Danio rerio: one gene and its partner. The protein of the gene in region 1 binds, or shares a complex with, the protein of each later gene. Links are inferred from orthologs where the notes say so. Each region holds a gene or a part of one and is shown on either strand. Other genes may lie near its edges.

Evidence for each region.
Region 2: the proteins of csk (region 1) and pag1 are in contact, whole or in part, in an NMR structure (PDB 2RSY), measured with the Rattus norvegicus proteins. The link is inferred for Danio rerio from reciprocal best matches to the Homo sapiens genes CSK and PAG1. Residues at the interface, in NP_001025210.1 of Rattus norvegicus: Thr88, Arg89, Glu93, Arg107, Ser109, Thr110, Asn111, Tyr112, Thr117, Cys122, Glu123, Lys125, Val126, Glu127, His128, Tyr129, Arg130, Ile140, Asp141, Tyr156, Asp161, Gly162; in NP_071589.1 of Rattus norvegicus: Phe291, Ser292, Leu294, Tyr296, Lys297, Ser298, Arg299, Glu300, Glu301, Leu305, Ile310, Met313, Tyr314, Ser315, Ser316, Val317, Asn318, Lys319.

The regions. Positions count from the first base shown.
Region 1 is NC_133200.1:21,856,767-21,873,929, reverse strand, and holds the end of csk (tyrosine-protein kinase CSK), read left to right. Parts: intron 1-4,415; coding exon 4,416-4,509; intron 4,510-5,524; coding exon 5,525-5,590; intron 5,591-7,703; coding exon 7,704-7,803; intron 7,804-7,890; coding exon 7,891-7,981; intron 7,982-8,086; coding exon 8,087-8,160; intron 8,161-8,460; coding exon 8,461-8,656; intron 8,657-8,739; coding exon 8,740-8,826; intron 8,827-11,405; coding exon 11,406-11,588; 3' UTR 11,589-12,606; downstream 12,607-17,163. UniProt on the Homo sapiens protein: Non-receptor tyrosine-protein kinase that plays an important role in the regulation of cell growth, differentiation, migration and immune response.
Region 2 is NC_133194.1:34,497,734-34,514,896, reverse strand, and holds the end of pag1 (phosphoprotein associated with glycosphingolipid-enriched microdomains 1), read left to right. Parts: intron 1-8,320; coding exon 8,321-8,377; intron 8,378-10,184; coding exon 10,185-10,499; 3' UTR 10,500-12,908; downstream 12,909-17,163. UniProt on the Homo sapiens protein: Negatively regulates TCR (T-cell antigen receptor)-mediated signaling in T-cells and FCER1 (high affinity immunoglobulin epsilon receptor)-mediated signaling in mast cells.

The DNA of each region.
Region 1 (17,163 bases):
AGCAAACACTTTCACAAAGGGTTATTTAGTTTGGGATTTAGTTTTCCCTTAATAATAAAAAATGTATTTCAAAACTGCATGATGTGTTTACGTATAATCTTTGACTAATTTTAATTCAAGATGATCTGAAATTATAAAGTGTGACAAACCTGCAAAAAAAAAAGTCAGTTAAAAAAACAAATGCTTTTTCACACCACTGTAATTCTTGTGCGTATTTCTCTGCTTTTAAACTTGTAAACAATCTGCAATACTTTTGTGAGATTGAAGTGATAAAATACTGATCAATTCATAAAATGCGAATATCGGTTAATTCAATCTCAGTCCAATCAATTGGAGCATGCCTTCATTTTTTAGAAAATTTTTGGCAATTATTTGTTCATTTTTGTTTAGCTTTTTTCATAGTAACACTGGGTTTTTGTAACTGAAAAGGTATATATAGCTATGGGTGCTTTCACATCTGTAGTTCGCTTCATTTGGTCCGGACCAAGGGCAATAAATGATACATTGTTGCATTTTCTGCCGTCTTTGGGTCGTTTTCACACCACACTGCTGGCTTTGGTCCGAACCAGTTGAAACGAACGACAATGCAGTCACCTGACAAAATCCACATCTCTTATTGGCCAGATGTTGTTAAACATACTTCCTAAACTGCTTATTGATTGGTCAGAATTCACATGCGGGAAAATGCCAGTGAACTCCCGCAGGTAAACAAAACCTTTTACTCTGGAGGGACGACTGCGCTGGCAGATTGTATCTCTGCTTTAGACAAACTACATTACGAAAATGAAGCGCGGCCGTGGCTGGAAAACAATGTTTAATGCATCACTCGTCACTTCAGGAGGAGCCGTGAATTAATTTAGCTAAACTGCGACATGCTCATCTTGCGGAAATATTACCAACGATCCATTAGGTAATGTTTTCCCCTCTCTCTGTTGGTAAAGCGCTGTCAACAAATATTTTTCCTCCATAACCCATAATGCACAGCGCATCGGCCTACAGCAGCTGAATTAGTCCAAAACGTGCAGTACTTTTTGCGGTTGGACCTGTTTTAGTACGGATCATATTCTCACCACAAACGAACCGCTCCAGGGTCCGTTACCGAGACCACCTCTTCAAGCAGGTCTCGGTACGCTTATTTGGTCCGCTTTTGGTGCGCACTCGAGTACAATTGCTGCATTCTCACCTGCCCAAACAAACTGTACCAAAAGAGGAAACAAACTCTAGTGCGATTCAATCCAACTAAATAAGGCAGGTGTGAAAGCACCCTATATTTATATTTTAGGAACAGGACCTTTACAAGGAGATCAGCATATTTGAGTTTCTTTACACCATAAAGTTCTGCTTTATAAAACACCGCTGTATTTCATAATATTGAGATTTCCCTTTTCTTAAAATACATTTAAATGATGCATGCTTGTCTTTAAATAACACACCCTCTCAGCAAAAGTAGAAGCTGTTTATTCTTGTTTACAAAGCTGCTGTTAAGATCAGAGTGTTGGAAAGTGGCTTGAGTCCTTCTTTTCATTTAAATTAAAGGAATCTATTATGGCTATTACATGATCACCTTAAAAAGCCTTAAAAAAGTGATACTTATAGCACTTCACAAACATTCAAGGCTGTAACACAAAGCACAGTGAGCACCGCTAATCAAAAGGCAGGCTTAAAATGGGCTGATTTACATAGATGCGAGATGTAAATGGCTGTACTTTGTATAGTTTTACATATCTTTTTATTTTTATTCAGCTGTCTATTGGCTTTATAAGGGCCGCTCAGTGTGATTAACCAGTGATGCGTTCTCGGTTAAGTGTTGATAACGGATGTGCTCTAGTTCTCCTAGATTGGGGTCTGGACAGTTTTAGTGGTCACTTTAGAGGCACTATGGGTTCCTCAAGTCTCTCCTCACCCTTTCTATTACGGAATTCCACACATTCTTCAGTGTAATTTTGGCTACAGTCGCTCTCTCTTTCTCCCACCCTTATATACTCAACTGAACAGTTGTGCTCTTTCCTGAGAAGTGGACAGGGCTACAATAAGTCTTTATGTTCAGAGTGATTACATTGCCACAGAAGATATTCTTCCCACATTCCGCTTGATAAAATTCATTGGAAAACTGCTCGAGATAAATTAAATAAAATCCCCAAATTGATATTTTCAGCTGTCATTTGATTAGTGTTTATCATTGCACATTTATTATTTTTTTTTTCTAAAATAAATGATAAAAGAAATACTTTTACTCTGCAAGAATGAACTAAAATTATTGGTAGTGACTGTAAAGATGTATATGATGTTATAAAAGTATTTTATTCAGGATGATTAATCAAAATCGACATTCAGAACCTGTAATCAATCTAATTTTTGCAGGTCAATTTTTTTCAATTACATTCCCTTCCATGTGTGAAGTCACATGAGCCGCTCTGTTAAAGCTGTTTTATACACCTGCATCAAACGCATGGTTATGTTCCGGCGCAGCCTTTGCGTGGTCGCGAAAAAAAAACTACACATTGCACATTTGCATTACATTGACGATGAATGGAAGCTGTGCCAGATATGCTTTGAGATGGCATATTTTCTATTACAATAAAATTATTTACATTGAAAATTATATTTTCTACTTTTGAAAACGTTGAACATAATTAGTTTTGTTTTCAAAAGTTATTTGTTTTCCCATTTTTTTAAGAATAAAGGGACTGTCGATTTCAGGCAATGTGTGTTTTCATTTTAGTTGTTCAAAGATGTTTAATAAATAATCGTAGATAGTGTGTGTTTCCTTCAATTATTTTTAAATTAAGTAAAAATTGTATTGTAAAAATCTCTCACTTGTGATATGTGAGCATATTTACTGTACAAAACCTGTTAGTGAATCGTGAGGTCAAAAAAATAAAATAATCGTTTATTAATCGTAATCAAGTTGAAATGTTCATTTAATCGAGATTTTGATTTGAGGGCAATTCGCCCTCAAATCAAAAATAATTTATTATTATTTTAATAAATATATCTGTTTAATAAATCTGAATCACAAACACACATTGCCTATATTCACTGAGAAATAGATAAAAATATTAATTTTTAAAAAAATGGGATTTACTCAATTAAGCAGAGCACTGTATATTACAGATGTTTTTTTGTTTGTTTGTTTGTTTTTTGCCGTCAGTTTGACAAGTCAGCCACCCTTTGTTAAATAATTTCAAACCGCAATAAAATACCTCCACATTTTCCATACTTTTCTTTTCTGTTTGCAAAACACTTTTATTTACAATTTTTTTAAAGTCTTAAAATTCTAGATTCACAGACTTTATTTTTGACACATTATTTAAAATATGTATCTAAAAAAATAGTTATTAACTTCCCTTTCTTTTGTTGGTGGGGCAAGTGAAAATTTTGGCAGGGCAAGTAGAAATCTGAACCACTGGCCCGATCAGACCAGTGGACCCTGTATACAATAGATTTGTTTTTATATTTTAGCTGTCAATTTCATATAATAGCATGTTATGACATTAGTTTTATTTTGCTTTTAGGGTAATTTTTATTTTAGTTGAATGTGATATTACTAATAAGAAATGCTTCTTAAGCATTAGATCAGCATATCTTTATAAATGAAAGATTATGTGATGAAATGGAATAATTTCAGCTTTACCATCTCAGGAATGAATCACATAACAAAATTATTAACATCAAATCTGTGCTATTTCTCATGTATGAAAGTAAATGGCTGAAAAAGATGGTGTTACAGTGAGAACCTTTTGTATTTGAAAGTATCAGTGCGTTGCAGAATTACTGAAGTGTTTGTGTGACTGTACTCATGCAAATGTGTTGTTATTTTGAGCGCGCATGTAATATCGGCGCACTCGCACACAGACACACGCACTCCAGTTCCTGGAACAGTTGATAACGAGGAAGTGACAAAGAGGAAACGGGCACAGGTTCCAGATCATTTCAACAGCATAATCGATGCATTACAATCGTCCTACAATATTATCACATCGTCTGACCTCACGCTTCTAGCGTCCAGACATGAAATCAAAAACACGTTTTTCATCACTGAAATGATAAGAATGTCCTCGCCTGTGTGGACTTGTCTATTGTGAGGAGGCGAAACGCAGGATTCGGTGGTTTATATGTAAACAACAGCGACCTCTGCTGGAGACTATCTTATTTATTCATTTTATTCATTCAAACTGCACATTCAAGGTGTGTTTTCCTTCTCTAGTTACATAAAACCTGCATTTATTTGCATATCGAGTTGCATTATTCAGTAAATTGGTCATTTGTTTAAGTTTATTCTAGCATGTTAATACCCTTTCATAAACATTTGATGGTTTTCTTTTAATTTCCATTACTGTCATGCTAGTTTTTTTTTTTTTTTTTGGTAAATGAGCTTACTTTTGGTCGGCTTGTGTGTGTTTGTTTTTCAACAGCACTACACTAAAGATGCAGATGGACTCTGTACGCGACTCATCAAACCTAAAATCATGGAGGGGACTGTGGCAGCCCAGGATGAGTTCTCCAGAAGTAAGACCTCCCTTGAGTGTATTCACACATTTGTTTACATGTTTGTACAGGTTTAACCTTCTGGTGCTCCTTGTTCCAGAAAGGTAATTGTACTGGTTATCATCAAAGAAACTTGACTTCTTAGAGGGATAGTTCATCCAAAGTGAAAAATCTGTCATAATTTATTCGACTTGTTTCAAACCTGCGTTTTAAATGGTGATGTACTGAAAAACGTTGGGGAACTCCACCACGCAACTCGCTGCCTTCTTCCTCTGTAATATCATGACAGTTTGCCACCTATGGTTGCAAATAACTGTACAATGGGGAGCTTGTAAAGTATAAAAAACCTTCCCTACTTACCGCTGTAAGACTGTGATGGTTGGCTTTAGGGTTGGGGAAGGTGTAGATGTTAATAACTTTAATAGTTAGGTTAAGGGTTGAGTAAGGTGTAGACATTATTAACTATGATGGTTGGGTTAGTTAGTTTTGAAATATGGCTCTCTAAAATTTCAAGTTATGCCTCTGAGGTTCTACAATTTACGCCCCTTCATGTTACACCCCTATATATTATATTCAATAGTATATTTTGGTTTCTACTATGGATTTCAATGACATGCTTTATAACATCCCAACATTCTTCAGAATATTTAGCTTTGTGTTCTCAGAAGCAAGACCTCATAAAAATTTGGAACCACTTGAGTGCGAGTAAATGACGGGAATTTTTATCTGAACATTCCATTTAACATTTTAAAAATTAAATATAGTTTATTTAAAAAAAGTTTCATGCTACTAAAGAATATCCACCTCTAAATTGTGCCATTTATTTCTCTATAAATTCAAAATATTATCTATTTTTTGGGTTTATGTTGTAGTTAATGCTGAATATAAAAAATGTAAACCTGTATATTCTTTAAATAGTTTTACTGATCTGATTTTCAATCTTGTTTATTATTAAGTTACATTATTAATACTGAAGAGCAACAGAGGATTTAATTCCTGCATGGCTAAATTAGTACCCAATTTTCTTTCCCCGCAGGTGGCTGGGCTTTGAATAGAAAAGAACTGAAGCTTATCCAGACTATTGGAAAGGGAGAGTTTGGAGGTACGTGTGTTTGCTTTGAGAAAATTATTATTATTTTTTTTTTACTATATACATATACTGTTGTGCATAAATCGGTATACCACCTTTTGAAAATTAATTTTTATTTATTAATTTCTCAGTGAATGTATCCAATAATCTTTGGTTCATTTAAACATAACATTTTTGTTAAACAGTTTTATCCATTAAAATAATAGTTTGGTCACCAAACATTAATCTTTAATAAAAGTCTTTAACAATTGCAAGATGATAATAATACAGTACATTTAAATTCATGCGAGTAATTGCAAAAATAAATTTGCAAACTACAAAATTGCAACTAAATTATATATTTTTTTATGTTTCTCTTGAGTTTTTCCCCCCTGTTTATTAAAGTTGTATTTAATATTTCCCTCCAACTTTTTAATTTGGGTGTACACATTTTTGGACCATGATCTCAAGTTATTTTGTTAAATTAGCTGTAGTTTTGACTTTGGAACTAACTAATCTAATGTATATGCACAAATATATTATTGTAAAGCATCCTGTAGAAAAAATCCATTTAGAAGAGAGATCTGTTAGGGCTGTACTTATATATGCTGAGCACTGTATACAATTTTTAACATAAGAAATGCACTGTACTAAATATTTTTATTTTACATACCATATATACTATTGCTAACCAAAAATGAATCATATCACTAACCCTAATGTTGCTATCTCTCACATTTGATGCATTATTGTCAAATGAATGTCACTTTTTATCACTTATATTCTAAAGAAAATATTGTGTATATTTTGCATATTAATATAAGCGTTCTTTTGTTTTTTGTTTTCATTTTGTATTTTTTTATTGCAGTTTCCAAATTTACATACATATGTATGGTATATACGCACAGGTGTCAATTCCAGTTCCTGGAGGGCTGTAGCTCTACACAGTTTAGTTCCAACCCTGCTTTAACACACTTACCTGTAGGTCTCAAACAAGCCTAAGGAACTTAATTAGTTTGATCAGGTGTGTTCAGTTAGGGTTGAAACTAAACTGTGCAGAGCTCCGGCCCTCCAGAAACTGGAATTGACACCTGTGGTAAATAGGAGTTTCCACATTATATACACAAAACAATCAATCATCGGAATCCAGAAGTTGAAAGAAATTATAAAATACCATAAACATTTTTAATAATTACGGAATGTACTGTACATTAATAGTTACAGAATGTCCTGTACATTAATAATTCAAGGACATCATGAGGACAATCAAAACAATACTCTCATAATTGTTTTGTATGTCGTCAAAAAGAAAACAGTTTAAGTTTTGTTGCTTTTCAATTGCAATTCAATTGTGTACTTTTCTTAACACACATTGAGGCACCCAGTCTACCCCTCTTCCCCCTAAGCTATATACGTATGAAACTGTGAGGATGGTATTTTTAGCATATTAAATGTACATTTTTATTTATTTTTATTTTTTCATTAGGTATTGTTCTTCTCACTATCTTTCTTTTGTTTTCTCTCATTACAAGAAAATTATACACAAAATAAACATAATAAAAATGCACATCTTTCTGATTATACATCCTATGTTAAGTCTGGTCTTAATGGGTGAATACATTCTACTGATTTTCTCCATGTCTCATTAAACTCCTCAGTCTGTAAACAATGATTCATTACCTCTCCATATTGTAGTTTTCATAAATTATGTCAAACCAGTCACTAATTTGAGGCATTTAGAGTTGCAACCATTTTTGGTTTTGGCTTTTTTACAGGCTATCAGCAAAATATTCATCAGTTTTTTTTTTTTTAAATATAATTTTAAATGGCTAACCAAATGTTTAGATTGCTAATAAAATAAATGTTTTAAAGACTATATCACCAAATGTACAAAAATTAGAAATGTTACAATAAGATTTTCAGATTTGACCTAATTAATGATGTTTTCTATAATGTGATAGAAAAAATGCTCTACAAAGCATGCCAAGTGACCACTACTGGAATGATTGGCCTTAAATTTGGCCCAGGATCCAATTATCTTAAAAAAAATTCAATGCATACAGAATATTATAATAATAATATGAACTACACAAGGAGTCATTAATTCATTCAGACTTAATTATTCTCTTTGTTTATTTGTTCTTAGATGTGATGGTTGGAGACTACAGAGGAAAGAAAGTAGCGGTGAAGTGTATCAAACATGATGCCACAGCACAGGCCTTCGTTGCAGAGGCTTCAGTCATGACGTGCGTTCATCTAACTGACCAATTAGAATCCTAGTTATATTTAGAGTCATTGCAAAATATTCATATTCATGCGCTGCACTTTTACAGTCAATTACGGCATAATAACCTGGTGCAGCTGCTGGGGGTGATCGTGGAAGAAAAGGGCAGCCTTTACATCGTCACTGAGTACATGGCCAAGGTCAGCGACTTCCATCTGTTACCATCGAGAATAGCCAGAGGCATGTTTAATAGCCATATAAAAAGTGTAGAGTGTACTTAAGTGTTGTTGGTATGCCTTTTTCAGGGTAGTCTTGTGGACTATCTGCGCTCCAGAGGTCGTACTGTTATCGGTGGAGATCGTTTGATCAATTTCTCAATGTGAGTTTCTTTATTATTATTTTTAAGCCATGACAAAATAGCATAACTTCAGACTTTGAAGCATAATAAAATATAATATATTTTTTTTATAAAATTATAAAAGTTATTATAAAAACTATATTCTATAATAACCATATTTTTTATTAATTAATTAATTTATTAATTTATTTCTTTTTTACTTTATCTATCTATCTATCTATCTATCTATCTATCTATCTATCTATCTATCTATCTATCTATCTATCTATCTATCTATCTATCTATCTATCTATCTATCTATCTATTTACATTTTCTCCTAGGGATGTGTGCAAGGCAATGGAATATCTTGAGGCCAATAACTTTGTGCACCGGGACCTTGCCGCTCGTAATGTTCTTGTGTCAGAGGACAACATAGCTAAAGTCAGTGATTTCGGCCTCACCAAGGAAGCCTCGTCTACTCAAGATACAGCCAAACTCCCTGTTAAGTGGACTTCACCTGAGGCCTTACGAGAGAAGGTGTGCTTTGTAAATGGTTTGTTTTAATGGTGGAATCTAGTTGAAAATATCCTTTTATTAATCTGCACGTCTTTCTGAAACAGAAATTTTCCACTAAGTCGGATGTATGGAGTTATGGGATCTTACTGTGGGAGATCTATTCTTTTGGTCGGGTACCATATCCAAGAATTGTAAGTCCCTTCAAATCCGAAACACATTTTCCTGAATGTTCACTTGTAGCTGATACTGGTGATTGAATAGTTTTACTAATCTCTAAATAGGATGTATTAATTAATAGTTAATTTATAGTTATTATTATTATTATACTTTTATTAAAAATCATAAAATAAATAAAATAGTTTGTATAATAATACGTTTTTTTAAATTAATTTTTCAGTCTTTAAACAAAAGATTATTAAATGTGTCATTTTTAGGGCTTTACGATATTGAAAAATCAGACATTGCGATATTCACTTTTTGTGCAAAAAATATTGTGATATACTGTATCTACAATTTCACCAGAGGACTTGAAAATTGCTATTTGGAAAGAATTTATTCAATTTAATTGGGAATATTTTGTAGGGAAGTTTTTTACGCATAAAAATGTAATAAAATGTGAAATACAAGCATTGATGAATACAAAAGAGCAAAGGCAGAAGTGTGATAAGTGTTTTATGGTTTTCAGGGCATTTGCATCGTATCCAAGAACAGAATTTGAATAATCAAATGTAAAATAACACTGCAAGTCTTTACTGTATAAAAAATTTAAAAAGTATTATTTATTAAAGAAAACTATATGTGCCTGAATACTTTGAAATCTTTCAGCACTTAAAAATGTGCAAATTCTAAAATTTCACTCCATTATGGTTAAACTCTGCAATAACTTCACAATGCTCATGTGTTCTAAACTGTTTCTCCTGGTCAGCTATAATCATAACTTTACGTTGCATATCCTGCAATGTGACTATTGCGGATGTGCACATTGCAGTATCAATGCTGAGACGATATATTGTGCAGCCCTAGTCATAATATATTTAGCTCATAAATTATTCTTGCTATTAACAAACTAATAACTATGATGTTTGCCTCAATAAACTTCTAATTTGCTGTTTGATAGAGTATTTGGATTTAGGTGATAGCTAGAATTCTTGATGTCGAATAAGATCATGCAGAATATGTACTTTACATATAAACAGCCAGTATTTAAACAATAGGCAGGTAATAGTCCACCAGTTGGTACAAGTGTTGGCAATTTTATTATATTCAGAGTTCCGACCCTTCTTGAGTTTCAGACATACAGTATGGGTTCAAGGCCTGTAAAATACTTATAAAATTAATTATTGCTTACATTTATATAGCACTTTTCTGGACACCCAAACGCTTTACACATTTTCGGGGTGGAATCTCCTCATCCACCACCAATGTGCAGCATCCACCTGGCAGAGAGGAAACAGAGTGATGAAACCAATTATGATATGGGGATCTCAGTTTAATGTCTCATCCAAAAGATGGCGATCACCAAGCAGTATAGAATCCCTATCAATATACTGGGGCATTAGGACCCACACAGACCGCAGTTTGAGAGCCCCCTGCTGGCCTCACTAACACCACTACCAACAGCAACCTAGTTTTCCCATGTGGTCTTCCATCCATGTACTGACCAGGTACTCAGTCCTGCTTAGCTTCAGTGGGCGACCATGTGAAAGTTGCAGAGAGCTAGCTGCTTATACACAGGTCCTTAAAAGTGCTTGGATTAAATTTTAATTGAAATTTGTTTATGGATGGTAAATTGTGCTATAAAAAAAAAAAAAAAAAGAGAAATTCTTTAACTAAGAATCTTACATTTAAACCTTGTACAATAACACTGACAAATAATGCACATTTGATCAATATTTCTGAAACCGCATTTGAATATTACCAGCATTGAAATCAACAAATCTGATTAAATTTCTTTGACCATGACTTTTTAAAATGTTTGAAAAGTGTTTGAAAATGACTTGTAAGTATTAAGTGAACTGTTAATGCCCACATGAACTGGAAGCTGCAACCGTTTTTGTTTGTTTGTTTGTTTTTCTCCATATTGTGATGCAGTTCCTAGAGAAACTGAATATTAAATGAGAAAACAGTGGGCGTGGCTTGTTTTTTTCTACTGTGAGCTGATTGGATGTAGTAAAGTAGGCATTTCATTTAGAAAGATGTGGAAAAGTATTTAGGGAGAGTTATTACAACCTAACAGATTCCTCCTCCTCACCATTTCTGTTTGTTTTCATATCTGAGTTGAACCAGCGTGGTTAAATATGTTAGCTACGCCCAGTTGCTAAGATATACGTAATCTGAGAATAAAACAAACAGCAAGTGCATTTTCAGATTTCGATAAAAGATTAGAAGGGCAAACAATTTTTTTTTCTCATAATGACATGCACAGATGAATTGTCCATCCCAAAACAATCAATTGAGCTAACAAAATCATATGGTTAGTTTTGATTTCATAGGGACTTAAAAGTACATTAAGGGCTTTCATGGCACTACATATGCTAAGGCATGAATTACAGAGGTCCTTGAAACTGTTGTTCAGGAAAGCATGGGAACTCTGTTACATTAGTTTTATCTCATTAATTTTTTAGTTATTAACAAATACATCAATTTTTCAAATGTTATGTTTTACTTCAGTATAATTTCAGATTCCTACCAGTAGAGGGCACCGTTGTCTCCTTAAGCACATTTTGTTTTGTTTTATCCTGAGTCATTGTCTCTCTTTCTCTTCTTCCAGCCTCTAAAGGAAGTGGTCCCGCGTGTAGAGAAGGGTTATAAGATGGACTCCCCCGACGGCTGTCCTCCAGTGGTGTACGACATCATGAAGCAGTGCTGGACTCTGGATGCTGTGGTGCGGCCAAGCTTCAGAGACCTTCGAGAGAAACTGCAAGATATCATAACCAATGAGCTCTACCGATAAAAAGACTGAAGAAGAGTACAAACACCTCCATGGGACCATCCTCATTCAATCTGACCAAATCTACTCTTAAAGAGGTGGACTTGACAAACATCACAAGTTACGTTTGCAAGCGCGTTCTTTTCTTCTCGCTCTCTCTTTCTCTCTCTCTACATCTTTTACTTTGCTTGGTTTTCTTAATTTTGGGGAGGCTGGCCTTCTCTATACAACTCACCTCTTTTTGATTCATAAGATCTTCAGCCTCCTCTGACCTCATATGTCTTCATATTCTCCCCCATTATGGATTTTTGATTTGATGATGAAGTACTTCCTGCTAAAAATATGATGATAATAATCAGTATTAGTATAAAAAACACAACAAATATAATGAAAATTATTCACAGGACTTTTTGGCCCTGTTGATTCTGCAAAATCCTAAACCAAAAAGCAATAATTGGCACTTAGAGATCATATCCTCATCCTATTTTCATTTCCAGTAGCCGGTGAAATACATGAGGAAGTCTTTCTTCTATTTCACAGTGCCTTTATGCCAGAAGTCTGTTTTACCTCAGAGCTTGCCTTTTTTTGTTTGTTTTTTTGCATAATTTTTTATACGTTGTTTAAAAGCGCTTGCGTTTCCTGCTTTTTTGCATCTCATCTTTCCACACATGTCAGTCTGAGCCTCCAAACCGGAATGGATGAATATAAACATGGAATATAAACACATTTCAAATGAGATGTGGCTTGGGTGGAAGCCAGAATGCTTTAATTCAGTATAAATAAATAAATAAAATAGTAAGACAAAGAAACTATACTAAAAGCCCACAAGTACAGATTTGTGGAATATTTGTTCTATAAGTCATATGCTGATTATTATTTTTTTTTGGTCGTCGTGAAGGACTTGATTTTACTCGCAGTGCTTTATTTTTTCTTCTTTTTAAACATTTTTTGCTGCCACATTACAAAAGAAATCATTCCACCAGAACAGTTTGATAAAAAGAAAGTTAAACAAAAAATAAAAAGGCTGCCAAAAAGCTTGGAATGTGTGTTTATGTGCCGTTTAAAATGCCACTGTTGTGCTTTCATCCTGTATGTAATATCTCTGTTTGTAAATGTAAAAGGTTTGCAAAATATCAAAGATCAAAGTGCTCGATAAATGGAGTTTATGTCTCCCAAAAAAAACAACAGCAACATCCTGATTCTGAATTTCCTGAAATGAGTCGTCAGTAATTCCATTTTGTCTTTCTTGCACAAATAGCGACCGTTTTGTAGGCAATAGTGTTGGGAAATAGCCACTGTTTTGTAGGCAATAGTGATGGGAAGTTCGGATTATATTGCTAACTCAGACCTTTGAGTCTCGTGCAGCGAGGTGAACAAATCTTTTTTAGAGTCATTTCGTTCGATTTGCCAAAATATTATTAAAATGTTACGAGTTGCTTCCAATGACATCTACAATTACACCAAATAAAATTCACCTTTCGAGTCTTCTGGTTTTTGAGTCATTCGTTCATCATGTGATGGCATGTAAAGAGAGATGTGAGAAATGAACAGATCAAATCTTTTTCATATGATTTGCTTCTGTTTTTCATGGGATGAACGAACGGCTTAAACCAAGGACTCGAGAGATGAACGGATCAAATCTTTTTCTTGCTCTAAATGCATATGATTGGCTTCTGCCTTTCACGTGATGAACAAAAGACTCAGACCAAGGGCTCGAGAGATGAACGGATCACATCTTTTTTCGGCTCTAAATTCATATGATTGGCTTCCATCTTTCACGTGATGAACAAACGACTCAAACCCGATAGAAGACTCAAAAAAAGGTACTAATCTTCTACTCCACCTGCACAAATGTGAGAAAACTCATCGTTCTCGAGTCATACAAAAGATTTTTTCAAAATGAATAAATCATCTAAAAACAACCCATCACCAGTAGACAATGTAATGCCATCATGGTTATTTCTGTCATAACAAAGTTATTGTCACAAGCCCGTAGACCAATCACAGAAGAGTAGGCTCTCGGAAAGGCAGGGCTTGAATGAATCATTTCAGACAGAAAACCCAGGATTCTTGAAAGTACTTGATTTCAAACATACATGAATTCAAGGCCTGGAAAGTACATAAAAACAAACATATGTTCTTGAAAGTGCTTAAATTGGAAATTTATGGTGTTATTTCAGCAATTGTACCTTGCTGGTTTCAAAAATGGAATGAAAAAAATGAAGAAATCCTTCATTTAAAAATCTTGAATTTCAATCTTACATAAGAATGTCAAATGACAAATATTTAATTTTATCAATATTTCAGAAACCACATTTGAATATTCAGTGTAAAAATCCGCTAAATGTAATAAAGTTCTTTGAGCATGACTGTTTAAAACGGTCAACAGTTTTGAAATGACAGCTTGATGTAAATGACATTTTAATGTAAATAAAGTGTGAGTGAAATGTTCAGTTCCGGAAGGACTTTTATGGGGTATATACAGTGGGGGAAAATAAGTATTAAACACGTCACTATTTTTCTCAGAATATTTCTAAAGGTGCCGTAGACTTGAAAATCTTCTAAGATGTTAATAACAACCAAAGAAACACCTGCATGCAAAGAAAACTAAACTAATTACATTACAGTTATGTGTATTAACATGAAATGACACAGTGAAAAAGTATTGAACACATGAAGAAAGGGAGGTGTAGCTTTCACACCGAGAGCATCAAAGTAGCCGGAAGTCTTTCGTTTTCAATGGGAGCTGTGGTTTGGCGGCAAGCAATCAGAATGTAGAAGTCCACTGCTTGAAGCATGAATCCCTTGCTAACTAAAACGACAGCACAAAACTAATTTGATGCTTTAGAACAGGGCTCTTCAATTGGCGGCCCCCGAGGCACTTTGTTCCGGCCCTCCAAACAGTGTGACCAGTACATCAAAAATAAATTTAGTTCAGTCGACAAACAGCTGCTATGGTTATGAAGTGGCAAGTGAAAATGAGCTGCAGTTAAAGGCTGCACAGAGCGCGAGTCATCATAAGCGAGTGGTGCGGGCAGCCGAAAGCATGTTTGTTGAAAAGGCTTTTTGTACAATGCACTGATATCGTTAATAGGGATGCAACAATTAGCCGATTTTAATATTAACTGCGCTTTAATTCGTCACAGTTTATTAATCGTAAAGTCTTCTCTAAGCTGCATTTCTGTTGCAGGGAACGAAACGAAACTGCTGCAAAATGCCAAGTTGCCTGTGCGCTAGTTTTAAGTTTGAAGTACACCGAGGCTAATACCAAAGAGCTTAGAATGACCAAGAGGTGACACGGGTGTAATTTGGGAAACAGCCACTAGAGGGCACGACGGCTATTTTGGAATGAAAACTCCAATTCTGTTAAGTAAACTATTAAAAGTGCTGATGATTGTGATAGTAAGTGTTGTATTGTCGTCTTTCAGGTTGTATCTCAGCTTTAATGTGCTTTTTAAATAAATAAATTACAAAGCAGCTGCCATCGCGACAATAATGAGATCCAATGGAGATCCAAAATGGCGGAATACAGGGCTGTTGCTGGGCGCTGCTGTTGCAATGTTCTATTAAGTGTCGCCTCTTGGTCATTCTAAGCTCTTTGCTAATACGGACGCCCTTCGTTTGGGATGCTTTTCATGAACCGGCCCCCATGCCAAACAAATTGAATAGCCCTGCTTTAGAATATTTCAGACATATGGACGCATATTGGATTAGTGGAGCAAAGCCACCCCACACGCAACAAATAAATATTCATTGTTAAATGAATTTAATAAATAGTTCTTAACATTTTCCTGCTATAGAAAGCTTGTTTTTTGTGGGAATGTAAGGTATATGATGATATGCTGCAATGACCCCTTTAAATACAATATCAATATAATGAATTTTGATGCTCTCACTGGTGGAGCTGTGAAGGCAGACAGCGTTGTCGCCACACAGATCAGTGTGAACTTTGCTCTCACCGCCTTCGGTGTGAACGCACTGTCAGTAGTTCTTTAGCAACCCTCTGCCCTTCATCATTGTAAATGAATAATAGTTGCTTCAGTCCAACATCTACATTAACAGGATGATGAAGATCAAACTAGAGTGGACATTTCAGCAAGACAATGATCCAAAGAAAACTCTCAAATGCTTTTAGAGAGAACATCAAGCTTTAGAATGGCCCAGCCAATCACCTGACTTGAATCCAATAGAGAATACAAAATAAAGATCAGATTTGATAAACAAAACCCACTGAACCATCAAGAAGTCTGTGGAAAAACTCACACCTGAGCTATTCATGTGACTTCATTGTCCATTTGAAAGGCGTCTCTAAGCTGCCGTCACCAAAAAAGCCTTTTATATAAAGTATTGAATCTGTTTCAGTTTAGTACTTTCTCCTTGTTTCATTTCATTTTAATTCACAAAACTAATTTTTCAGTTTTTTTTAAATATTTTTTTTATGTTTGTATTGTCTGGGTTTATACTAAAATCTGGTTTAATTCCATGTCAACAGCTTCTTTAAAAATATTCCCAGGAAAAAAAAAAACATGACATGTTCAATACTGATTTTCCCTGTTGTATGCTGGGGGCATGAATTAAGGTGCTCCATTTAAAATTACCAGTGATTTAAAACGTCCTTGAATTTGGTCTTCATGAAAGAGTGGGAAACCCTGTGTTGAGAAAAGCTGCGATGTTCATTATGGGAATATATATGTATGTGTGTGTGTGTGTGTGTGTGTGTGTGTGTGTGTGTGTGTGTGTGTGTGTGTGTGTATATATATATATATATATATATATATATATATATATATATATATATATATATATCGTTTATTTTGACCTTGGATGGATGTAAACTTTTGTGGCAAAATTTTGTTATGCGGAAACTGTAAACACATCCAGCGAGGAAACACATCATATATACAGTGGTGAAGCATGACAGCTTTTCACCGTGATGTTTTGGCACACGGATGTGAAATGGTAACAATAAAAGCGATGCCCTACAGATGCGCTTGGCGTGTGTCACATGCTTCGAAAAACCACATCACATGCAGCTCCAGCAGGATGTGATAGGATGCTTCTGTGGTCTATCTATAGGATGCTGTATTTTTGCTCAGCGCGTGTTTCTTGTCGGCAACATGATAGCGAGAAGAGGAAGATTCATGAGCGTGCAGCTAAAAATGAACCGCTGAAATGCTGCATTTGTGGTTTTTCGTGAAGGTGAATCCACCTCTAGTTTACAACAACATCAGAACAAAAACACAGCAGAGATGTTCCCACTTTCCCTTTTACAGACATTAAATTTCTCAAGGGAACTACTACTGGGTATTTAACAAATAGACAGTAAAATTGTAAAAATAAATAAATAAAAAATAATAATAATAATTGTAAAACAACTTTTAGGATAAAAAAAAAAGTTTGAAGACTAATGTTGGAGAAAATTCAAATTATCTTTGTGTCTAAAACACCTTTACAATGTAGATTAGTTCAGTTTAGTGTGGTTTCATTTTTTTACTGTTGAAAGTCCAAAGAGCTGTAAAGAGCAAATACAACGATGTGCTGCTCTACGTGTCCTAAACCAAGTAAGTTAGTGGCGACAGTGACAAGGAACAAACTTCCC
Region 2 (17,163 bases), on another chromosome or scaffold:
TTGATTAAATATAGTTAAGTTGATTTGATTTTCTGGTTTGGATCTTTATTTGTTTTTGTTACTTCATTCTTGAGCCAAGAGGTTGTAACGGGAGCCCAAGCTGTCTGTCAGCAAATGTAGATTTGAACAACTGAGCATCTTTTCATGTAGATTTCACTGATGCGCGTTAACGTGGACATGAGTGACAGCGTTAAAAGCAAATACTCAATCAAAACTTTTTAAGTATTTTTTAGACAGGTAATGTTCTGTTTTAAAACTATTTTACTCGCACAAAGCTGATGTAGATTGTATTGTTATGAATGGGTTACTTAAATACACAGAAGTGTTGTTTATCCACTGAAATCTTCAGGAAAATGATCGATGTGACTATTTTTAGTTTCATACGGTACATTTTACAGCATTGACAATGCAGATTTATATTTAGTTTAACAACAAAACATCAGTAAATGGCGTATTTCGCCTAGCCTGCTTTATTGAGGTGAAGTCTCATATATTCACAATGGTTCATTTTTGAACAATGACACCTGTGATGCGCTCCCTATATTGTTTACCATGCTCTGAATATTCGGTCTGAAATAGCATGTAAGGATGGCTTAGTAATAAGTGTAATTCCTGCTCCCGCTTTAGGACAAAGTGCGTTAGAGAGTGATGACAAGTTTTGCTTGCTAACTACACAACTAAAATGTGCCTGATACAATACAGTTTTTTGTTCAGAATTTTAGTATTAAAAGTACTATAAAGTTTTCTAACTGGCGAATGACATGATCTCTGTCAATTTTAATTTGCGCGCTCTCAATTTCAGGAGGCATGGCTTTGGACGACAGGGGAGGGATTGTGTTTGAAAGATGTTATGCTAAGCGGTTAGCATTTAGGCAGATCACCTACTGCACCTTTAACATCAAAAGTCCTTTTCTAAGAATTGTCAAGGAAATTCATGTTTACACAATCAGTAGACTTTAGGTGCATCCCAAATCGCATACTTATGCACTATTCTATGCCATTTTAAATCGTGTAACTAGTGCATTCACATTAAAAACTCAGAATAAGTGCACGTTAAATACCCGAATGGTGCACTTGTTCAACTGTTAAAAATATGTGTGGAATGATGGACACTTCATGCACTCAATAGCCACAGCTTTGCTCACATAGCGGAAGGGGTGGAGCTTTTGGGCACTGATGTTGGATTACTTTATTTATTTTGGTTTGTGTAAAGCAATTATATCGCCTCTCGATGGTGAATGTGGTTATACTCATGGCAGGTGTTAATTGGTAGTTTGGTCAATTATTTCACTAATTTGGCAACCAAACTGTTTCCCAGATGACGTTTGAATTTTTGCTTAGTAAAAAAAAAAAGTTAGTGTTTCATTTGGGAAGACACTACATTCATAAAATAATAATAATAATAATAATAATAATTCCTTACATTTCTGGACACTCAAAGCACTTTACACATTGGGAGAAATCTCCTCATCCACCACCAGTGTGCAGCATCCATCTGGATGATGCGACAGAAGCCATATTGCACCAGACCACACGCCACACACCAGCTGATTGGTGGAGAGGAGACGATGAAGCCAAATATGATATGGGGAGGCCATGATGGACAGAGGCCAGTATATAATTTGGCCTGGATGCCAGAGTTAAACCCGTACTCTTTTTCGTGGAACATCCAAGGATTTTTAAGGACCACAGAGAATCCTTGGTTTAACATCTTATCCGAAAGACAGCGCTCACTGAGCAGTATAGAGTCCCCTTCACTATACTGGGGCGTTAAGACGCATACAGACCGCAGTTTGAGCGCCCCTTGTTGGCCTTACTAACACTACTTCCAGCAGCAACCTAGCTTTCCTATGTCGTCTCCCATCCAGGTACTAATCAGGCACAGAGCTGCTCAGCTTAAGTGGGCAACCATGTGAGTTGCAGAGAGCTAGAAGCAAATATACTATGCTGCTTTACATACGAATGAACTTAACTGAGCGCAACATGCACGAGCGCAAAACCCCTCCCTGCCTCCTCCCCTGAATAAATATGACTCTACTTTGGCAAAACCAAACAAAAAAAGCAATAGCAAAAGCGAGCAAGAAGAGAAACTTTGAAAAGAATATGAATTGGAGGTGCTGCTTACGGAGGTAGACTGGAGAAAAACAGTGTTGTTTGCATATTGTCCTCCGGAATTAATAACAAAAGAAAAAAATAGAGTGGGAGAGTTTAGCTGATGTGGATTAAAAAAAGAAATAGTGTTATGTAAAAGTGTAAAATTTTGTAGCGTCTTCAACAGCATGAGTGGCGTAGCTCGTAAAACACATGGCAGCATATTTTTACAAGTTCGAGTATGAACTCGGTTCGAATCCAGTGTCTGATGAACTCAATCTTCTTTTTTTCTCTTGCTACATATCAGATTTTACCTACTCTTCATCACAAGGAAGACAAGTAGGAATCATTAATAAGTCTGTGCATCTTATTTTATTTGCACATTTATTTAATGGAAATGTTTCTGATTCACGTTTGCAAATTCTTCTTCAGATGGCGACTTTATAGCAATCTGTGTGCAGTAGATTGCTCCGATTACATTGATACCGGCGACCACTGCAAATTGCGCTTCAATGGTGAGCTGGTCAACTGTATGGTATGGAAACCTTATATACCTGCTAGACATGCAGATGATTAGTGAGGGCCTTGTTGGCCTCACTAACACTACTTTAGGCAGCAACCTAGGTCTCCTATGTTGTCTCCCATCCAGGTACTGATCAGCTTCAGTGGGCAACCATGTGAGTTGCAGAGAGCTAGCAGCAAATATATTATGCTGTTGAGTGTGTAAGTGCATAAGTACATAGTGCATAAGTGTATAGTGTGCCATTTGAGGCAGTTTTTTTTCTGCAACGTTATTGGAGTGGAAATGTGTATAATGATTCCAGACTGGCCACTGGATCTGGTGCCAACACTGGCACACTTGGAAGAGGCTGTAGTGAATCAGTACTAAAAAAGTCAGATGGTGGATCATGTACCTGCACCCTTCGGAGTAAACTGTCCTGTTTACTCTATCACCCTGTTGATCACTTGGAAAACCTGTTTGTACCCTTCACGTACTATGCTGTGATACACCTATCACTGTAAATCCTATTCGCTAGCTTGATGTAGATGTGTAATGGGGCAGCAGTGATTTGTCTTATCGGTCACATGTTTGTGTGTAACATGGGGATGGGGATCAGTGCGTTCCAGCTGTCCACTGTCTGACAGCTCACCCTCATGATGAATGAGACATCATGAGCATGTGTTTACAGGTGCATCGGTCTGTGTTTGAGCAAGACAGTTCGTCAGTTAAAGCTGGGATACCAATACTGACATGTGCATGCTGAAACACTTGCACACAGATTGTACACACTGCCTCATTAGCTCATGGTGTGGACTGTATGTTTAGTTATTTTAGCGAAGCAAGCAAGTCTGGCTTGAGCGGAGCGCCATGTGTGTCATTATGCATTGGTGCCACTGTCACTATGCTTGCATGATGGACTGAGGGCAGCTGTCTGTGATAAACTGTGATTTCAGCACATCAACACTCAGAAATCTCCTGCTTAAGGGGAGGACTTTTATTGTTAGCACTGATGCCTTGTCAAAGGATGCGTGGGAATGAAAACATGAGCGTTGAACTATAGCCCTTTGCCTCACGCATTTGCCATACTGTATGCAGGGTATGTTCTAATTTGAACTTGGTTGGGTATTCGGCCATTGGGGTGTTCAAGGGAATGTATGTGCTCAGTGTGAAGGACACCGCAAACAATATCAATTGGGAAATCGCAGGTTATCGCCACAAGTTAAAATTTTGTAAATTAAATTAAATTTTTATGATTTAGATTTTTATTTTCTTCAATTATTTAATCATACAATCAGTTTATACATCTTTACATCCTTTTAACATCCACTTCCCCCTCCCCAACAGCGGCAGTTACAGTAATTAGATGTTGCTATCATAAATCCAGTAAATACAGATAAACAACATTAATTTTCTTTTCGGCTTAGTCCCTTTAATAATCCGGGGCGCCACAGCGGAATGAACCGCCAACTTATTTAGCACGTTTCTACGCTGTGGATGCCCTTCCAGCCTCAACCCATTTCTGGGAAACAGATAACACACTCATTCACACACACTCTCATACACTACAGACAATTTAGCCTGCCCAATTCACCTGTACTGCATGTCTTTGGACTGTGGGGGAAACCGGAGCACCCGGAGGAAACCCACGCGAACGCAGGGAGAACATGCAAACTCCAAACAGAAACGCCAACTGACCCAGCCAAGGCTCGAACCTGCGACCCTGCGACCTTTTTGCTGTGAGGCGACAGCACTACCTATTGCTCCACTGCGTCGCCCAGATAAATAATAAAACTCAATAAATAAAGAAGCACACATAAATAAAATAATAATCGTAAAAAAAATAATTAATTAATTAATAAAACAACAATGCAATAATAATAATAATACATACATAAATAAATCAAATGAGATAATTACACTTTTACCATGTGTCTCACCACAGTGACCTTATTCATCCTTCCAAACTGTCAAATAATTTCCCAATCTTCTCTGATAAACATCCAATTTATCAAGTAATCCATATGTCATTTTTCATATGCTGCCACCTTCCCCAATTTGGTCACCCATTCTTGAAATGATGGTGGACCTGCTGAACGCCATCCCCTCATAATGATTTGTCTTGCAATCATAATACTTATTTAAATCTTCACACCAGACCCCAACACGAACGGGTCTCCCAGTACATGAATATTTTAGGACAAAACGATAAGCAGCATCCACAAACATTCTGAATGTAAGTGTGCACTTTAATCCAGAATTCCTGTATTTTAGAACAGGACCACAGGGTATGCATTAAGTTACCTTTTCTACTCTCACATCTCCAGCATTCAGCAGAGTCCTTCAACCAAAGCCTAAAAAGCTTACTCGGAGTCCAATAAAACGAATAAAATTTGAAAAATTTTATTAAACATACTCTTAAATATCTTGACATTATGTAATGTGAACTGGACGCTGACAACAGAGTAATAATCCAAACATTATACAGAGATGATCAGGCAAGCAACGGTCACAATCAGGAGCAAACAGATGTATGTAGGAAATCAAGTCGTAGTCATCAAAACAGGCAGTTGGTCAAAAAGCAGACAGCAGACAACTTAAACAAACAAACCAACAAGGTAAGGATCTAACAAGGCAAAGCAAGGCAAGGCAAGGCAAGATAAACGCATCGTAATGTTTACAAGACTTGCCAACCCCTGTGTGTTTGTGTGCTGACTTTATAGTGCGTGTAATCAGTTCATGAGCGGCTTCAGCTGTGAGTGTTTCCAATCAAACAGGATCTAGGGCGGGTGTGTGAGTGTATAACATTTAAAAAAAAAATTGTCAAGTACAGGGTATTGCAGCACAATTCCCTAAAATTTGTCAAACACGCATTCGAATCAATAATTGACTAATAAATATACTAATTTAAATCATGATAAACAAACAAAGTAACAATAATTAAAAAACATCAAACACTGTAAATAAGTTATCTACACAACAGTTTTAGAGCAAAAGGAATAAAGGAGAGTTCATGATGTTTAGTTTTATTTCTTAGTATAGCAAATGTCTTGTTTCGTCAAAGAAGGCAGGATGACAATGGGGCCTTAGGCAGGAAACAATACAGTGGTCATAAACTGTCATTGAGTATTTTGGTGAGAGTACGTTTGGGGGCTTAATCACACCTTTCAATCAGTGTTGAAAAAGTTGAAGTCGGAATACCTATTATCCAACAGCAATGCTTTTAGATCATCTCTAACTCCTCACAGAGAACATATATGCCTTCAAAGTAAAAAATATGTACACGAAAAATGCATAAAAGTAAAAAAAAAAAAACTATTACCAAACATATCCTTCCCAACTTTTGGTTTGATCTGACACAACACTATCCCATAAATTGTATTCATTGTACTCAAATAGCATTCAAACAAGTATATTTTAGGTTTGTCTACAAAAAAAAAAAACTGCATATGGTCTGAAGTACAATTCTCAAAGCTGTTTGTTAGAGAACTGCAATAACTGGTAATCAATAGTAATGCAAAGGTTAATAGTAATGCAAATAGTAATGCAATAGTAATTGAAGGTAATCAATAGTAATGCAAAGAAGCTACCAACTGCTGATTGGCCATGTACAGCTTATAAAAATGTATATATTCAGGGTTCTGTACCAAATGTACCTCTTTCAGCATTAGCCTTTATGACACAACAATCTCAAAAAAAGATTCAAATAAAAAATGAGTGTGTTAAACAGACTCAGAGAATTTGGACAACAGTTAAGAAAAAACTAAGAGGAATGGCAACCGTATCAAGAGTTATGTCTATAGCAGATAACCCTGATTTCTTACCATCCAAATGGGATGCCACTTTTAAAACATGGTGCGATAAGGGACTTATGATAATTGATCAGTTATTTAATGAAAACACTATGCACTCATTCTCTTATCTTAAAGACAAATTTATGTTGTCGTCAAGTGATTTCTTTCGATACTTACAATTAAGAAGCTATATTACAAATCATAAAGAAAAGGAAATATTCAAAAAAGTCCCAACTAATGTGGAACAGTATTTTATTGATATAAAAAAACAAAAAGGATTGCATAAAAGACACATATCACAGATATATAATAGCCTAATTCTGGATTCAACAGATAACACCCTTCAAATTAAAGAAAAATGGGAATCTGAACTTAATGAAAAAATTGAGGATGATATTTGGGAAAACATATGTTCAGAAGCTCATAAGGGGATCAACAGCCATAACTGGAAAGAGTTTGACTGGAAAACAAAAATTAGGTTTTTTAGAACACCATTGATGGTCTCCAAATATACTAATCGTCCACAGTCAGAGGAATGCTGGAGGGGTTGCGGAAATGTGGGTAATCATGCACATATATTCTGGGAATGTCCGAAGATACTTGCATTTTGGCAAGGGGTAAAGATTGAGATAATGAAAATTATGCAGGTAGATCTACCTTTTACTCCCCTGTTTTTCTTGCTTGAAGGGATACCCCAGGATATATATAATAAAAACCAGAGATATATACTACATATACTTTTACTAAGTGCAAGAAAGACCATAACAATAAATTGGATGAAGCCACACCCTCCAACAATAGCACAGTGGATAGAAAAACTTGATTGTATATATAGAATGGAGTATATGACTGCTCAACTTCAACTAAAACTGGATATTTTTAAACAAAGATGGGCACCTGTTATGTTGTACCTGAATAGGACATAGTATTTCTAGCTCCTTTGAAACTGAAAATATTGTATGTTTTTTTTTTTTGTAATTTTTTATTTACATCTGCGGCTACTGTCTTTTTTTATTTTTATTTTTTTATTTATTTATTATTATTATTATTTTTTGTTAATGACCGCTGCTGTCACTGAATGTTCTGTTCTGTAAAACGTTTTAATGTATAAAAATAAAGTTCAAAAAAAAAAAAAAATGTATATATTTATATATAATGATGCCATCACACACAAGACCCCTAATCTTTGTAACTGCCTGAGTGATGATGTTGCAGTGAGTTTAAATGCTTATGTTGATCATTTAATTCTTATATGGCCAAATCAATGCAAGAGGTGCTTTAATTAATATAGAGGGCCGGACAGAGACAAAGGCGAGAGTGAATTAGCAGATAAGCCTTATTGCAGGAAACATTTGTTATTTGTGATGAGGTCATCAGTGTCTTTGCGGACGGGCTATTAAATTAATTGCCTTGCTAATTAAACCAATATCAAAGCACGTCGGTTGAGCCCCTGATGCAGGTTCTGCGTAATCATATCAATGCAAAATACTTCAAACTCACAGGATGAGGCCGCTTCATTAAAACAGGCTTGAAACGGCGCTAAAACATTTTAAGATTAATCTTGAAGGGATTACAGCAAATTTCCCGCTTGACTGTATTCTCTATGTCAGTGAGGTGACTGAAGAAGATTGATATTCCTCTCTTACAGTCAAGGTGTCCGTTATTGATCTGCTGTAGGATTTACTTTGTTAATTGATGACTCAAGTATCGATTGCTATTGTAAATATACAATTGCTCGTGCTAAGAGAGAACCTGTACATTTGATTTCAATCAGTAACACTTAAGTAATGAATGAGTGGCTTCATTTTTGCATCAATCAGCCTTCGACACTAGCATGTGTCAGCTGAAGCGGGCTATTTCCTCTGCGTTTAAGTGTTCTGATTGAAAGTGTTTTTGACTAATGACTAATGACTTTGTTTCAATCATTGTCCCACAGTTACACTCCCCGCTGCTGACTCCAGAGCTTCAGGACAAGGTGTCTCCAGACAGTGAGGTAGGCTCATCCCCAACTTGGTGTTTTAGGGATGGGTGGTTTTTACAACATGCAATATGTATCATTCCTGTAAAATAGACAATATAGTATGAGATAATACCATTATATTGATATACAATAGTTGGTATGAAGACACAGAGAGAGCTCCTGTAGGGAATGTGCATAACCCAATTTGTCTTACATGAGTCATGCTTTATATTATGGGAATAACTAAGATATCATTATCATGCATAGTTTCATGTGGATTTCCCTTAAAAATGCTTTGATCAGATCAGCTGTATTTCATGTTTGAGATGTGGTGTTTTCCTCAGTGTGTGGCATACATTTCACATGCAGTTGCTCTGCATGTACTCTGCATTTGTACATTTTGGAAATGAATTGCCTTACAGGGCACCTATGATGAAAATCATCTTTTGTACGTTGTTTGGACAGAACTGTGTAGGTATAGTGTGTCCGCTGTCATATTAGGGTGATATAAACACAATAAGTCTCATTTTTAAATTTTCGGATCTTAAAATAGGATCCAAATCCCTCCCATTTTGAGGCTGACTGCAACGTGATGTAGGTGTGGTTTCCCTTCCACCAAATTGATTGACAGCCGCAAAATAACATGTCTCCATAATAACGTGTATAATCATATCAACAAGACAGGATGTGCGCAAAGCAACAGGGAGTAAAAGATCTGTTCAGCTCTCTGTGATCATCAATCATTAAATCTGATCAAGAATTAGAAGTTTATAATTGTTTTTAAAACGGTGTATGTTTGCAATGAATTATAGCCATTTACTTCAGCTTTACTTTATCACCACAGAAGCATGTCAGTTCAATTATAAAAGAAGATGCTTCAGTCCTGGTTTGTGGACTTTAAATCAGATTTATTTTGTACGTTAACATAACAAAAATCCATACAGCAGTGGATATTAATGTGTATCTTGTCGCATTTTCCATGCAAAAACAGTGCATAGTTAAATGCACTTGCCTTGTGTGTGTGTGTGCGTGTGTGTGTGTGTGTGTGTGTGTGTGTGTGTGTGTGTGTGCGCGTGCGTGTGTCTGTGTGTGTATGCGTGAACTTTGTAACAACATTGTGTGTGAAAGTGTCATCGTTGCAGAAAGGCTTGAATTAACTCCACAACAAATACATCAAATAATCATTAGGAAAGTTCTTACTGTAGTATTTCTCACAAACGTTACGTGAGATCTGCTTCCTTCATGTCTGTGCTGTGCTGTGCTGTTTTTCTGAGATTTTATGAGATGAGTTTATGAGATTTGTTGACCTGTTTAGCATGCGCACGTATAGAGTTTCATGCCAGAAATTTCCTGTTTTCATACACTCAAAAAAAAGACGTTTGTTGTTTGTTATAACTATTTTATTAAATAAGCTGAAACAACACAATGTTGGATTTTTTGAAGGTGACAATTTAATTGTTTTATGTTTAATCTACTGAAATGTGTAAAAACTGCAATGCTAACTTAATTCCTTCATGTTATCCAAACACAAATCGATTGTGCGAAACCATTTTACAGTGTGTCCTTTACAGTGTGTCCTTTAATATGAACATTTATATTACTTAATTTGAACATGAATGTTTTATTGAATAACATTGAGCAGGATGTAAACAAATACCGATTTTATCTAAAATCCACATATAACAATGTTACTCTAAAAAATTTTGCCAATATCACCCAGCCCTACTTCCATTTTATTTATTTTTTTTTTACCACAAATAATTATTTGTATATAGGTAGTGCACTACATCAAGTCTGCATTGTAAAGATGTCCAATTCTCTGTTACATTTCCCTTTCCAGTTATCAGACTTGTACTCCACGGTTGCGAAGAATCCTGTAAAGGAAGCAGAGAACGACTACAGCAGCATTGGAGAGATCAAGGGAATTATGCCGGAGTCGACTTCCAGTGATCTTTACGCCACGGTTGGAGATGAATACTCAATGGTTTCTGGCTCACAGCCTTCAGAGGGGCTTACAGAGAATGCAGAACCCGGGTACGAGACCATCAAGATCTCCAAAGCGTCTGAAGAGGCTCATCTTGGCAATGGGATAGTGGAGCCTGACTACGAGAGTGTGGGGGAACTGGGTCTGAACGGGGACATCTCTCGTCTCTGACTACCCACTTAAGGACTGCGAACACTGAGACAACTTAAGAATTGAAATGTGTGTGGCATCATGAGTATAATGCACTTAATCTTTCCTACAGCATTTATGCACCCCATTGTTTCTGAACATTATCTATTGAAAGGCTTCATCCAACACAGGAAAAGAAGCACTCTTCTTTATGCTACGTATTTTTGTGAATATTTGGGTACGAAAAATCCAAGATGTCCCTTTTATATAAGTTGGCATCACTTAGGATGGACATTTCTACATCACTTTCTTGCTAGAGCCATTGTTTCATCCCTGCTTTATGAAATAGCCTGCAGTAAGGATTTAGCAAACACAGAAGCAGCATCTCAACTAGAGTTTGTGTGTTGTTAATGTCCCTGAAAGCAACAAAGACTTTAAATGATTTCTCTCTACAGCATATACATCCATTCAAACGGCACATTCTCATTCATGTGAAAAATAATAAGGAAATGCAAACAGATCTGCTCTATCAAATGATGTAGAGATGTTAATATAGTTTAAAACATTCTTATATCCTTCTTATAAACAAAGGAAATGTGCTGCTAGACCAAAGATACAAAATTAACATTAATTATTAGAGATAATAAGCAAGAACTTACACAACCTGAAATTAATTTAGTATTATTAGTAATCTTATTCCAGATACTATTGATACTAATTCACATATCTAATTTTTGCATATCCTAATTAATATTCATAAGCTTAGTCTTGGCTATTTGGTGACATAATAACCAGCACATCTGCATCTGTGTAACCCCATTTCCCACATGCCCTCACCACCTTTCAAAACAAAGCGCCAACAATGGTGGTGCTCTTATGAGGAATATTTTATTCATAACACGTACTAGTGGTTTCCACGCACTTGCATGCTGCACCTGCTGTGAGCTTCCCCTTTTCACGTGATTCTAGTTGAGCAACTTACAGAGTTGCATCCTTGTATAACCCCGAAAAGCGAACCAATCAGAAATCAGCAACAGCAGACCTCTCAGTTCAGGCCATTAAGGAACCGCATCCATTCGAATCAGAACTGCTGGAGCATTTAGTTTCACAAGTGCGTAACACATATCAAGACCCACAAGAGGAACATGTAGCCGTCACGCTGAGCTGTTACACACGTTTTATAAACAGTGTGTCAAATCACAGGCTCAGGAGAGGAAGTGACCTTTTAGGTACGCAAAGTTGAGTGCACTTGTTTATGAGTGTGCCAAAAGGGTATTAACGAAACGTTGGCCATTATCTATTGCTGGTGTGAGTTCGAATCATTTTAGTTGTGGTTTTATTAAGCTGTGTTGCTTCAATATGTATGTATTTTATTATTATTATTAATGCAGCTGTATTGATGAGTGTATCAGATACGTTATATATTTGAGATATATCTTGGTTTCTACATGTAATAAGGTACGCAACATTTCAAATGGCTGAAAAGCACAGGGGGAAAGAGACAACAAGGTACTGCTGAACTGCAGCTTTGCCTGGCAGCTTAGCAAATGTACTTTATTATCAGGGTAACACTTTACAATAAGGTTGTATTAGTTAGTGCATTTACTAACATGAACAAAGAATGAAAAGTATAATTGTTACAGACATGTTAGTTCAGTTGTTCATTGTTCATGTTAACTCTCACTGCATTAACTGATGTTAACAAGCATAAATGTGGATGTTAATCTTGCATTAGTAAATGTTAAACTAATATTAATAAATGCTATACAAGTATAGTTCATTATTAGTTCATGCTGCTGAATACATAAACTAATGAAACCTTATTGTAAAGTGTGACCATTATCAGGTATGCAATTAGCTGCCTTTACATTAATGTAGCGGTATAATCAAAAAGCATAGCGCGTCCAGACGCCGCCTGGGATGAATTTCATGCCAAGAGACACTTGTAAATATCCAAACTATCCTATTTTGATCTGTTAAATTATGTCACTGTTTCAGTATGCTTCTGTAATAATTGCCAAGCGCTATCAAATGACAGCACGAGGAACTTTTAGAGTGGGTTAATACTAAAGAAACTTTGACAGTAATTGGAATACATACATTTTCCAGATGCATTTTGTAATTACAGAACGTTTTATGGAGGTTTATTACAGTTTAAAAAGCCAATGATCTGTATTGCTTCGGATTTCTTAAGCAGTGTTTATAATGTGAGGGTTTAAATAAGTGTTTGCTTGTAATGGTACGTCGTGTTGGTACAGGGTTCATATTGCTGAAGATCCTTATTTTATTTAATATCATGGTTAAAAAAAAACTGTCTTGTTTCTCTCTTTAACCAAATTCTGGTGTATTTAGTTGTAAATATGAATTTTGCATTTGTTCATTATTTCATCGTAATCTTTGTAATGTGGTATTTGCTTTATTAAACAATATATAGTCATGCTGGACTCAAAATACATTGTCTGTGTATATGTTTGTCTGCATTTATCATTTACACATCACTGTAAATTGTTGTAAACAGTTCTATATGTAGGTGGCACGGTGGCTCAGTGGTTAGTACTGTCGCCTTACAGCAAGAAGGTCAATGGTTTGAGTCCTGGCTGGGCCAGTTGGCATTTCTGTGTGGAGTTTGGATGTTCTCCTCATGTTCACGTGGGTTTCCCTCACATTCCAATGATGTGATGTACACTAACTGGCCACTTTATTAGGTACAGCTGTCCAACTGTTTGTTAACGCAAATTTCTAATTAGCCAATCACATGGTAGCCACTCAATGCATTTAGGCATGTAGACATGGTCAAGACGCTCTGCTGAAGTTCAAACCGAGCATCAAAATGGGGAAGAAACTTTGAAAATGGCATGCTTGTTGGTGCCAGACAAGCTGGTCTGAGTATTTTAGAAACTGCTGATCTACTGGAGTTTTCACACGCAACCATCTTTAGGGTTTACAGCGAATGGTTAGTAAAAAAAAAATAATAATAAAATGAATAAATAAATAAATAAATAAATATATATATATATATATATATATATATATATATATATATATATATATATATATATATATATATATATATATATATATATATATATATATATATATATATATCCAGTGAGCAGCAGTTCTGTGGTTGATGCCAGAGGAGAATAGACTGGTGAGCATCTTGAGCATCTTTGAATGCACAACACATTGAACCTTGAGGCAGATGGGCTACAGCAGCAGAAGACCACACCGGGTGCCACTGAAGCTACAATTCTCACACAGGCTCACCAAAATTGAACAATAAAGATTGTAAAAACGTTGCCTGGTCTGATGACTCTCGATTTCTGCTGCGACATTCGGATGGTAGGATCAGAATTTGGCATCAACAACCTGAAAGTTTGGATCCGTCTTGCTTTGTATCAATGGTTTAGGCTGCTGGTGGTGGTGTAATGATTATTTTCTTGGCACACTTTGGGTCCATTAGTACCAGTTGAGCGTGTCAACGCCACAGCCTACCTGAGTATTGTTGCTGACCATGTCCATTCCTTTATGACCACAGTGTACTCATCTTCTGATGGCTACTTCCAGCAAGATAAGGGGCCGTCATAAAGCGCGAATCATCTCAGACTGGTTTCTTGAACATGACAATGAGTTCACTGTACTCAAATGGCCTCCACAGTCACCAAAGCTCAATCCAATAGAGCACCTTTGGAATGTGGTGGAACGGGAGATTGGCAACATGCATGTCCAGCTGACAAATCTGCAGCATCTGCGTGATGCTATCATGTCAATATGGACCAAAATCTCTAAGGAATATTTCCAGTACCTTGTTGAATCTATGCCATGAGGGATTAAGGCAGTTCTGAAGGCAAAAGGGGATTAAACCTGGTACGTGTAAGGTGAACCCAATAAAGTGGCCGGTGAGTGAAAGTGAGCTGGGTAAACAAAATTTTTCATATTGTATGAGTGTGAATGTGAAAGTGTGTGGGTGTTTCCCAGTACTGGGTTGTAGCTGGAAAGGCATCCGCTAAAACAAATGCCAGAATAGTTGGTATTTCATTCCACTGGTAGCGACCCCTGATAAATAAGGGATTAAGCTGAAGGAAAATGAATGAATGAATTCTATATTTACATGGCCTCGCACTGAATTCAAAGTAATACACCAATAGGCAGTATATAATGTTGATATTTAATCTGTCGATACATCCTACTAAACTTAATTCTCAAGTGTAGAAAAACAATCTGCCATAAGACAGGTTTATTATCATGTCAGCGTGCTGGTATTAAGGGATTTAAAGAACATATTTCACTGTACAGCATACTATTGATTGAATCTGTGGTCAGAGCATTGTGCATTTTGAATGCAAGTATTCCATAAGTGAGCGCTGGCAAACAGGTGCATTTAATAGATTTTTTACCCTTCATAGGTATAAATTGTTTCTTAAAAGATGCCATGCCTTAAGGGGTTATTCTTATAGACAGTTTGTTATAAGCGATTCATGCCCACAAGCGCACAGTAATTATATTATACATTGAGAGGCCATGCGGGAGGAGCGGCTCTTTAAAATGATCAATGCTACAATCGATTCAGAACTCAAACTGAAGGCACACACAGCATATACCTGCACTTGTTTGTGTTTAACTGGACATAAAGGTAAAAATGTCCCTCAATACTTTATAAAACTGCAGTCTCTACAAATTCTACAATTAAAACTGTATTGTAATGTAACAATATTTTAGACTGCTGGGAACATATGCTTAGATAATAATGATTTTATTCATGTTCAGTTTCTTAGAGACTATTATTTTGCTTCAATACCTAGTTTTTTTTTTAATCTTAAAGAGTTTTACATTTATACTTGCATTTAATAAATTAGCAACAATCAGGTTTCAGCTAAAAATAAAATCTGCTTTAATGTTATACTGATGAAACAAGCTCCACCAACATAATGGTTAGTAAATTAACAGCAAATATTTATTTTGGGGTGAACTATAGCTTTGAAGCTTTATAATGCACAAGATTAGAGGATTACATCTGAAATGTTGTCAGTAAATGCAATATAAATTGTAGAATTAAACCTGTGATACTGTCGGTCCCAATAGCCTTGTGGTTAGTGCGTCGACACATGGTACCGAGGTGTTCATGGTGACCTGAGTTCAATTCCCAGCTCAAGGTCCTTTGCCGACAATTCCCCAATCTCTGGTCCCCATACTGTCCTGTCTCTAAATCTATCACAATAAAGGTGAAAACCCCTAAAAAAAATACATTTAAAATAACTGTGATACTGCAAAAATATGTTCCCTTTTGAATTATGTTGCTTTTAGTACTGTTATTACTGCAATTGATAGTTAAAACATTCAACAGTAACATTTTCCTTAAACCAGGGCTTCTCAAACTTTTTACCATGCGACCCCAAAATAAAAATGTCAGTAACTCGCAGCCGGGAGCAGGGTGGCACAGTTGTAGCACATTTGCATCATAGCAAGAAGGTCACTTGTTTAAGCCTCAGATTGGTCAGCTGGCGTTCCTGTGTGGAGTTTGCATGTTCTCCCTGTGTCCCCGTGGGTTTCCTCTGGTGCTTCGATTCCCCCCACAAGTCCAAAGACATGTGGTACAGGTGAATTGGGTAAGCTAAATTCTCAGTAGTGTATGTGTGTGAATGAGAGTGTATGTAACCCAGTGATGGGTTGCAGCTGGAAGCGTTTCCGCTGCATAAAACATATGCTGGAAAAGTTGGCGGTTCATTCCGCGTTGGCGAACCCAGATTAATAAGGAGACTAAGCCAAAAAGAAAATGAATGAATGAATAACTTGCGGTCCCCATTTTTCTTGAAGAAGGTTATAAATATACAGATTTTGCACACACAACAATAGGCCTATATAAACATAAGCATACTGACACCTCAAAAAATACAAGTCTTGTCAGCACCAATAGCCTTGTGGTTAAGTGCGCTGACATATAGAATCTCTGCTCCCAATATTTTCCTGTCTGTAACCTCCACTGTTCTATCCTAATAAAAGGGGGAAACCCCCTCTAAAAACAACCCTATAATTGTTTTATAGTCATTTGTTAATTTGTTTAATTTTTTATTAACCTCAAATCTCAAATCTGATTTTTAATGTTTCAGAGTGCCATAAAGGTTGGCAGAAAATTAATGTGTGGTTAATCCAAACACCAGGTATCGTAATCCAATGGGAAAAAATGGAAAGGATGATGGCTTTTTATTTATATGTTGTTATTTTTTTAATGTACAGTTGAAGTCAGAATTATTAGCCCCCCTTTGATTTTTTTTTATTTAAATATTTCGCAAATAATGTTTAACAGAGCACAGAAATGTTCACAGTATGTCTGATAATATTTTTACTTCTGGGGAAAGTCTTATTTGATTTATTTCAGCAAGAACAAAAGCAGTTTTTTTATAAAATAAAAAAATAAACATTTTAAGGGAGAAAGGTAAAATATAGAAGTGGTGTTTTACTCTTCTCAAGTCTAATTTGATTGTAAGTAGTTGTACTGTAGGTAACAGTTGCCACCTTTTTGGGCAATACAGTTACTTTTAGCATAATACATTTCATACTGGCAGCTAGCTCTTCGTAACATGGTCACATGGCCCCACTGAAGCTATGCATGGCTGCGCCTGGTGAGTAACTGGATGGGAGACCACATGGGAAAGCTAGGTTGTTGCCAAAAGTTAGGGAGGCCAGCAAGGAGAGCTCAACTTGCTGT